Ovis aries: one gene and its partner. The protein of the gene in region 1 purifies or fractionates together with the protein of each later gene. This does not show direct contact. Links are inferred from orthologs where the notes say so. Each region holds a gene or a part of one and is shown in the gene's direction. Other genes may lie near its edges.

The links.
Region 2: the proteins of AMHR2 (region 1) and CDC37 purify together in Homo sapiens (co-immunoprecipitation; 3 studies listed by BioGRID and IntAct, with this or other methods). This does not show direct contact. The link is inferred for Ovis aries from reciprocal best matches to the Homo sapiens genes AMHR2 and CDC37.

What each region holds. Positions count from the first base shown.
Region 1 is NC_056056.1:133,081,062-133,085,390, reverse strand, and holds the start of AMHR2 (anti-Muellerian hormone type-2 receptor), read left to right. Parts: upstream 1-1,455; 5' UTR 1,456-1,533; coding exon 1,534-1,585; intron 1,586-1,865; coding exon 1,866-2,048; intron 2,049-2,251; coding exon 2,252-2,443; intron 2,444-2,707; coding exon 2,708-2,782; intron 2,783-2,925; coding exon 2,926-3,044; intron 3,045-3,159; coding exon 3,160-3,390; intron 3,391-4,329. UniProt on the Homo sapiens protein: On ligand binding, forms a receptor complex consisting of two type II and two type I transmembrane serine/threonine kinases.
Region 2 is NC_056058.1:12,789,656-12,794,198, reverse strand, and holds the start of CDC37 (hsp90 co-chaperone Cdc37), read left to right. Parts: upstream 1-1,688; 5' UTR 1,689-1,783; coding exon 1,784-1,885; intron 1,886-4,543. UniProt on the Homo sapiens protein: Co-chaperone that binds to numerous kinases and promotes their interaction with the Hsp90 complex, resulting in stabilization and promotion of their activity. Inhibits HSP90AA1 ATPase activity.

The sequences.
Region 1 (4,329 bases):
GAGTGCAGCATTCCACCTGCCTGGACTCCTAGAAGAGCCCAAGGAGGAATGGGCAGCTGTCCATCAGCCTCAAAGCCCTGGTCATGCCTCTAGCTGCTGTTTCACACTACTGGGACTTTGACACCCTCATGCAAGCTCCTCAGAAGACAGACTCCAGAATCATCCTGCATCTAAGCCAGATCGTCCCTAGAAAGGGTTTCCAGGTAGGCACCAGCAGAACAGAAGGCTAGGAAAACAGGGAACCAGTCTCCTCTGGCTCTAATTCTCATGAGAGCCAGTTCTAGTTTCTTCTGGGCAGTAATCTGATGGAGCTGGACTCCTGTCTCTCGATTGCGGCACAAGCTCTACACCGCTCTCCTTCCATCTGCACGCTGACGTTCCCTCTACACACTCTAAGCCCTCCCGTCACAGTCTGCAGTTCCTGCAGCTTCATAGACACGGGAGATGCACTGTGGGTATGAGTCACTCCAGGAGGCCCTTTCTGACCCCTCACTGTCCTGAGTTTCTCCTGTGTTTGCTGGCCTCTGGTGGTGATAGTTTGAACTGTACTATCTTTTTATAGTGGTCAGCTGACAGGTATTGGTACACATTTTCTCAGTCCATATTCAAATACTGTGTTGAAAGAAAATATTTTTTACTGCTGAATTTTGTATTTTCTTTCAGGCATCAGAGCCATAATGCAAAAAACAAAACAAAACAGGGCTTGGGCTTTAGAATCAGACTTACTAGGTCCAATCCTAACTGCTATTTTCTGACAGAGTGACCTTGGTCAAGTTACCTAAATTCAGCTTTCTTACCTATAAAGTGAAGATAATAATAACTCAATGGGAGAATTAGATGTGATGATTGTAAAATTCATAGCCCTAGTCGTGCCCTAGCACGTAGGTGCTCAATAAAGTTTGTTACCTTTTCTATAATGGTGATCAATGTGATTTTTAAAAAATTTTTTGATAACATCAAATCTACCTTCATACACCTATTTTCAATGTGATTTTTAAAAAACTCATTTTACACAGCTGCTTTCCTGACCGTTGAGTTTAGAAAATGAGGTCAACTCGAAGTCTAGGCTGTGAAGCCTGTCTGTGCCCAGGGAACTGCAGATCTGAGCCCAGAAAATAAGAGCTAGAAGGGCTTTTGGGAACAGGTGAATGGCTCTGAGCACTTAACCTCACTTGGGTTTCCAGCCTGGGAAGAGCTGACAGCAGCCAGCACTTTTTCCTAGGGTCAGCAAAGGGCAGAGGTTTGGATCACTCTGTTCTCAGTGGGAACTCTAAGGCCCCCTCCTCCCACTTTACAGAGAAAAGAGGAGGTGGCTGAACAGAGGAAGATACGGAGACTGGTTCTCTGCTCCTCCCTCTCCCTCCTTTTCCCCACACCCATCCTCTCCCCCACAGCAGCCGTCTCCCCCACAGAGACTGGGAAGAGGGAGGGGGTGGAGTTGGGGGCTGAAGGATCAGAAGCCCCACGGTGCCCTGTGTCTGAAGGAAGCTCTGGCCAGGGACAGCTGTGCTGGCTCCTGCTGCCCCCTCCAGCATGATGCTGGGGCTCCTGGGGCTCTGGGCACTGCTTCCTACAGCTGTGCAAGGTAAGTGTCTACAGGGAGAAGCAGGGTCTTTCCAGCCACCCATCATGGGAGGGAGCACTTGATGAGTGATGAGTGGAGTGGGTGAGTGAGGATGAAGGGTACAGCCAGGTGTTCCCTTGGTGGGGGTCACGTTCCAGGCCTCTGCTGACCCTGTTTCCTCCTGTGGCTTTACCAGGCTAGCTCTGCAATACAAAACATGTTTTGTCTCTCTCCCGGCTTCTGTCTGCCCCTGCATTCACTCCCATCTTGACCCCTCCCCTCCCCTTACCCTGGCCTGCAGCACCCCCCAGCAGGCGGACCTGTGTGTTCTTCGAGGCCCCTGGAGTGCGGGGAAGCACACAGAACCTGGGGAAGCTGCTGGATGCAGGGCCGGGCCCCCTCAGGGTTATCCACTGCCTCTACAGCCACTGCTGCTTTGGAATCTGGAACCTGACCCAAGACCAGGCACAGGTGGAGATGCAAGGTGAATGGCGCAGCATCTGCCAGGCATACCTGGGTGGGAGAGAGGCTTATCCTGGGTGGAGGTGGCCGCTGAGGAGGGCAGGAGCAATGGAATGTGTGGAGGGAAAGAAAAGGCTGTGAGAGATGGAAGGGATGCCCTCTGTGTTCCCAGACCCATACACACTCTGTCCCTCCCTTTCTCTCCTCCCAACCCCTCTGTGTCAGGATGCCGAGACAGCGATGAGCCAGGCTGTGAGTCCCCCCGCTGTGACCCAAGTCCCCGAGCCCATCCTCGCCCCAGCTCTACTCTCTTCACCTGCTCCTGTGGTGCTGACTTCTGCAATGCCAATTATAGCCATCTGCCTCCTCTGGGGAGCCCTGGGACACCTGGTTTGGAGGGCCCCCAGGCCATCCCAGGTAGCCACCCAAGGTGCTGGAGCCAGGTGGGGGCTGGGGCCCAGGTTAGATGAGAGGTTAGAACCAGGGCCAATTCTCACCCTACCGCTGTCCTAAGCTTCCCTCCTCCTGGCCTTGAGAAGTTGGTTGCCCTGGTGACTGGGAGATAAGGGGGCTTGTGACCAGGGTGGGGGTGGGTAGAGAAGCAGTTCTCTGAGGAGTGAGAGAAGCAGAGAGCGAGGTTCGGGGCAGGGCTCACCCAGTCTTTCTTGCTCTAACCTCCAGGGGAGTCCACCTGGATAACGCTGCTGCTGCTGGGACTGCTTCTGCTGCTGCTACTGCTGAGCAGCATCATCTTGGGTACTACTCTGCCCCACCCCCCCTAGTGATCCCCCCAAGGTACTGCCCCAGCGCTCTGACCCCTCTCCAGGCTCCCCTGACTCCCATCACTTCCCAGTCTCCATGCCTGGGTACCCTGACCCTAAGGCTGTTCTCTGCTCCAGCCCTGCTACAGCGGAAGGCCTGCCGCGTGCGAGGTGGGCCAGAGCCAGTGCCAGAGTCAGATTCAGGCAGGGACTGGAGTGCTGAGCTGCCGGAGCTGCCTGAGCTACGCTTCTCCCAGGTGCCCAGGGATGGTGGGGAAGGGGCCTCTGGGCCCTCCCAGAGAGTGTGCTGGAGAGGAAGCCTGGCCCCTGCGAACTCGGCGAGATCCAAACCCAGCACCGTGTCCCCACCAGGTCATACGGGAAGGAGGTCACGCAGTGGTGTGGGCTGGGCAGCTGCAAGGCAAGCTGGTAGCCGTCAAGGCCTTCCCCCTGAGGGCTGTGGCCCAGTTCCAAGCTGAGAGAGCGTTGTACGAGCTGCCCGGCCTACAGCATGACCACATTGTCCGCTTTATCACCGCCAGCAGGGGCAGCCCTGGCCCCCTGCCCTGTGGGCCCCTGCTGGTACTAGAGCTGCACCCCAAGGTGAGGACTGAGGAATGTATGTGTGTGGGAAGGCGGGGCGGGGAGTGGTGGCAGCTAGGCCCTGTTCAGGCTTGTTCCTTTGCTGTAGATTGCCTTTTCTCTAGAACATTAAATACGCTTTTTAACTTTTTTCTTTTTATTATTATAAGCAGTACTTGCTAATATTTTTGACTTACAATATATAGAAAAGGAAAGGGAGAAATCAAAACAATTCATATCCCCAACCTTAAGGAAAACCAATGTTAAAGACAGATCTCTGGGCATAGACTTCCAAATTCATTCATCTATCCATTCAACTAATATTTATGAACAATATGTTGCTGGAAAAAACACACCCAGCCCCTACCCTTCCCAGATTTTACAGAGTAGTAGGGGAGGCAGAAGGGGATCAAGCAAACACAAAAAGAAATGTAAAGAGTCAAGTGAATTAAGTGCTGAAAAGGCCCTATAAGAAAAGACAGAGGAGGCGTAACCCAAAGGGAGGGTCATGAGCGAAAAGGATGAAGAGAAACAGATAGGCAGGGGCCAGACCGCACCGGCCTTGTAGGCCTCTAAGGACTTGGGATATCATCACCTACAGTTCCTCCACCTCTGAAATCTTGAGTGCTGAGAAGTCTCTTCTTTGACCATATACCTCACAGCCCAGCTTGTTTGGTTTTGTTTAACTTTCCGGGCACACTGAAGGCGCTTAATAATGTCTGTAGAATGAGGGACTCCACTGTTCCTTTCCTCCCAGCTGCTCCCCTACCCAACAGCTCTCCCCATCCACGCCCTGCTACGGGGTGACCCCCCAGGCCAGGTGACTCATGCGGGTGCCCCTACCTAGCCTACTTGGCCTCTTCTGTCTTTATCCCAAGTCCTGTGAGGCAGTATAAGGTGGTTAAAGGTGAGTGATGTTGGCAGTCAGACTGCTGGGGGGTCAGGTTGTACGGCTCTCTC
Region 2 (4,543 bases), on another chromosome or scaffold:
GGGAATCCCGATTCGGGGTCCTCCCTATACACCCTCAGCCTGGAGGCCAGCCTGCAGCCCTCAACCGGCTACGTGGGGGGCCCTGCCTTTCTTGGGGAGCGATGGAATTCCCCCTTCCCCGCCCGGAGCCTCTCCCTCCCAGGGGCCAGGTCCCCCTCCCGGCCGCAGTCGTAGTCCAAAGCTTACCTTGCAGGGGGGCTCGGGAGGGGATGCCCCGCCCTCTCCGGCCTGGGGGGCGGGAGGGGACCGGGGTGTCCAGACCCTTTGTTTGCCGGGGTGTGTGTGTGTGTGTGTGTGTGTGTGTGTGTAAGTGTGAGATCGGGAGCCCCGCTGGGATGTAGGTCCGTGCGCGCGCGTACCCGGGCCTTGACGGCCGCTGTGATGCTGAACTGCCAGGGTTGGAGGAGGAGGAGGAAAGGGGGACTCCCCCGCCCCCGCCCGCCTACTCGCGGGTTTGAATGGACCGTGAGGGGGAGGGGCAGCGGCGGGCGGGCGCTTTTGTCCGGATGGCCCCACCCCTTCCCGGGGCCGGGGAATCCCCCACACCCCACCCATTTAAAGACCTTTACTCCTTCCTCTCCAGCGCCCCCCCAAACGCCTGCTTGGTTGGGGGGAGTCTGGAAGAGGCGCCCTTCACTCAAGTGGCTGAATCTCTACCCATTCTCCCTGTCCCCCGCCCTGCGCCCTTTAATCTGAGATAATCCTGGCCCTAGGCTGCAACGCAGCCTTTTATCCCGGTATCAAAGCGTGGGTAGGGATACATGAAAATGTGTGGCTGCGGTCGCCCAAGCTCAGTGTAATAGAGTTCTTAGAGTCTGGAACGAGGAAGGGGATCCCAGACGAAAGAGGGAGGGACTGCGAGGAGTCCCAGAGTACCTCGACGGAGAAAGACCCCCTGCGTGCGCACTTCCAAGCTCTTCCACCCCTCCCCCACCTGGCGCGGGGCACCCGCACTGGCCGCTAGTTAGACACTAGCGACACCCAGCGGATGCATGGGGAGCCGCCGTAGACAAGCTAATGAGGCCCGTTAAGTGCGGTCGGGTGATTCCAGAGGGGGCGTGTATGCGCGAATCCCCGCTAAGGAGTGGCAGAAGATGGGGGAGGCAAGAGGGGAAGCTGTGGTCCGAGCCAGGGAAACACCAGGTCTCAAGGCAGGGCCACATCGCCCCCATCTCGACTCCTCGAGGGCAGGGCCACAACCTTCCTTCACTTAGACCCTCCTAGAGCAGGGCCTTGTACCCCTTGTACTGGGAAGGTCCTTTCCCATCAGGCACCATCTCCAGGACAAAGTTAAGTCCCTCTTCACAAAAGACGGGAGCGAGGTCTTTTCGCCGAGGCCGAGCCCCAGTAGTGGGCTCAGGCTGACGTCACTGTGGCGTGGCTAAGAGGACAATCCTCTTTTTCAGTCTCGCCAACTGCCCCCTCTCCCAAGGCTGCCGTAAACGCCCACCGTGGGGTAGCGGGAGATGAGGGGGGCTCGAGGTTGGAGAACCCACCCGTAATTCCCCAGGAAGGGCCTAGTGGAGGCCGGAAGCCGGATGGGGTGAGGTCTCAGCGGACTCCCGAGAGCCGGAACACGTGCGCAGGGCTCTTTAAGAACTTGGTCGCCAGTGCCGCTGCTGAGGTTACTAAGGATGTGACGTCACGCGAGGGAGGGGTGTAAGCGTCAGGGCGGAAGCGGAAGGGGCGGGGCTCCGCGGGCTGTGTCTCAGTGCTGCCGCTGCCGCCGCCGCCGTCGCCGCCACCGCTACCAGAACCCTGGAGGGCTGGGCCCCGAGGCAAGATGGTGGACTACAGCGTGTGGGACCACATCGAGGTGTCTGATGATGAAGACGAGACGCACCCCAACATCGACACCGCTAGCCTCTTCCGCTGGCGGCACCAGGTAGAGCTCGCGCGCCCAGCCCCTTCCCCCACTCCCGGGACTCCGCTTCAGAGTTCTGACCCCCTGATACTGCCGGGGGGCCCCAGCCATTGATACCTGGGATTGCCCCCTACAGCCTGGACTTTCCGAATAGCCTAGGGTTCTTCGATTCAATTCCGGGGCCATAGAATTGCCGGGACCCCTGAGTTCCTTGCCCGCGATGCCGGCGCCGCCCCCCCCCCCCCACCCCCACCGCCCCGCGCTTCCAGTTTCTTCTTGAAACGCCAGGTTGACCTGTACGGTATATTTTTAGAATTTAGACTGCCAAGACAAGCTTTTGACGTGCCTCCCAATCCTGCTTGGGATCTTCCATTTACACCCAGATTTCTACCTCAGAATCTGGATCCTGAACCTAGTCGGGTACCCAGTTAAGATCTTGGCTGTTCCATGGCTCCTCCTAACCCCTGTGCTCAGTCGCTTCAGTCGTGTCCAACTCTGTGACCCCATGGACTGTAGCCCGCCAGGCTTCTCTGTCCGTGCGATTCTCCAGGCAAGAATACTGGAGTCGGTTGGCATTTCCTTTTCCATGGGATCTTCTCGATCCAGGGATCTTTTATGTCTCCTGCATTGGCAGGCAGGCTCTTTACCACTGGCCCCGTCTGGAAGTCCTCCAAAACCCTAGAGTTCCCAATAGTTTAAGTCTGTTCTGCGACCTGCTTTTCTGGATCCTTATGGTTCAGATCCAGAAGTCTTACTCCTCTGAATAAAATAATTCTGTCTTCCCCTGAGATTTCTGTTCCTGGCTTGGGACTCCAACCCACACCCAGGACCCCTCCCCTAGAACAAAGATTGGTACCCCCTCCCCCCAAGGCCCTCAGTCTCATCTAGGCCTGGAATTTTGAAACTTGGGTCCTGTTCAGAATGAACCACCACCTCCACCCTGATGGAGCCTCCAATTCCGGAGGCTCTTCTTTAGCCTCTGGTACTGTTAGACCCAATTTCCCATTACATCAGGAAACCCTACCCACGTGGCTTCCTGCCCAGCCAGAACCCCTGCCCCTCCTTGGTACCTCACACCCAGTCCCCGCCCACCCCCAAGACAGACTTCCAGTGGGAACCTTTGCCAGCTTCAGAATGCCACATTCAAACCCAAGTCCAGGACCCAAATCCATCCCATCTCCCTTCTGACCCAAACTTGGTGTGCTATTCTCAGACATCCACAATGACCCTGCTGTTACAAGGAACCCACCCATCCTGATTCCAGATTCACCGCCCCTTCTTTTATCTATTTTCCCCCAAATACAGACCCCCAGAATCCCAAGTCTGTATGTTCTTTCGACAACCTGCAACCCCCCCCCCCACCCCCGCAGCCGCTCAGCTGTGCTCACAGACCAACAGAATGGCTCTCCTGAGACCTTGTGTGCTAACTTCTTGCTCCACCAACTCAGAGCTCCTACACCCACATTCCAGGGGCTGCTTTGCTCTCACACTTATGGAATATACCTTCTAGAACTTTCCAGTTAGGAAAACCTCATTCTGTCTTCCCATGTATCAGCTTGCAGTTGTTTATCCAGAAACACCTAGAAGCGCCCTTCCTCATCCTGCTGAGACACAGTATCCGTGCCTACATCTAGTCCCAGTTCTGGGTCCAACCCATTACTTAAAGCAGCAGCCTCCTGGCTAGGGCTTCCCTGGTGGCTCAGATGGTAAAGAATCTGCCTGCGGTGCAGGAGACCCAGCTTCAATCCCTGGGTGGGGAATATCTCCTGGAGTAGGGAATAGTGACCACTCCAGTATTCTTGCCTGGAGGGAGAATCCCATGGACAGAGAAGCCTGGTGGACTACAGTCCATGGGGTTGCAAAGAGTCGGATACGATTAAGCGACTAACCCTTTCACCTGGCTAGTGTACCTGGTGGGAAAGCCACTGGAGTGGAAAAAGAAAGTTCTAGTATTTCTCTCTTGCCATATGTGACATTTTATGATGAAATATTGAAGCTCTCCGCAAAGCTTTAAAGCTCATTCTCGGGAACACCTATTCTTGTCACGAAGTTGATCTCTATCACCAGGTTTGGTCCTGCTGGTTTGGGAGGCCATGCCCGCTCTCATACAGCATCCTCCTCTCACCACGCCCTACTCCCTCCTGGCGCAAAACCTTTCCCTGTCCAACCGCTGAGGACCCAGGGCTGTCGTGGAGATGAGTGGAGGCAGGGAGCCTGGTGTCTCCAGCACGAGGTTCAGCTGCCAGTGACTGGCAGCCTGGGCTCCAGCCCTGCCACAGGACCATCACTGCTTTGGGGGAGCGAGCCCTCCGCCTCCATGAGACTGTCGTGAAAATGAAATGAGATTAGATCTTGAAAGAACTTGGCTCGGCGCCTGGGAGGAAAGAGTAAGCAATACCAAGAGTGGAAGAGGGGATTAGCCAAAAGGTAGCCTGGTACCCTTGTGAGCGCAGGCCTGCCCGACTGGGTTCATATCCTGCTCCTTCTGCATATCACTGACTTGCTGTGATCCAGTGAGGGTTTTTTTTTTTTTTTTTTTTTAATTAATTTGACCGCACAGGGTCTTAGTTATAGTGTGCTGGATCTTTAGTTGCAGCATGTGGAATCTATTAATAGTTCCCCGACCGGAGATCGAACTGGGGCCCCTTGCATTGAGAGCACAGAGTCTTAGCCACTGAA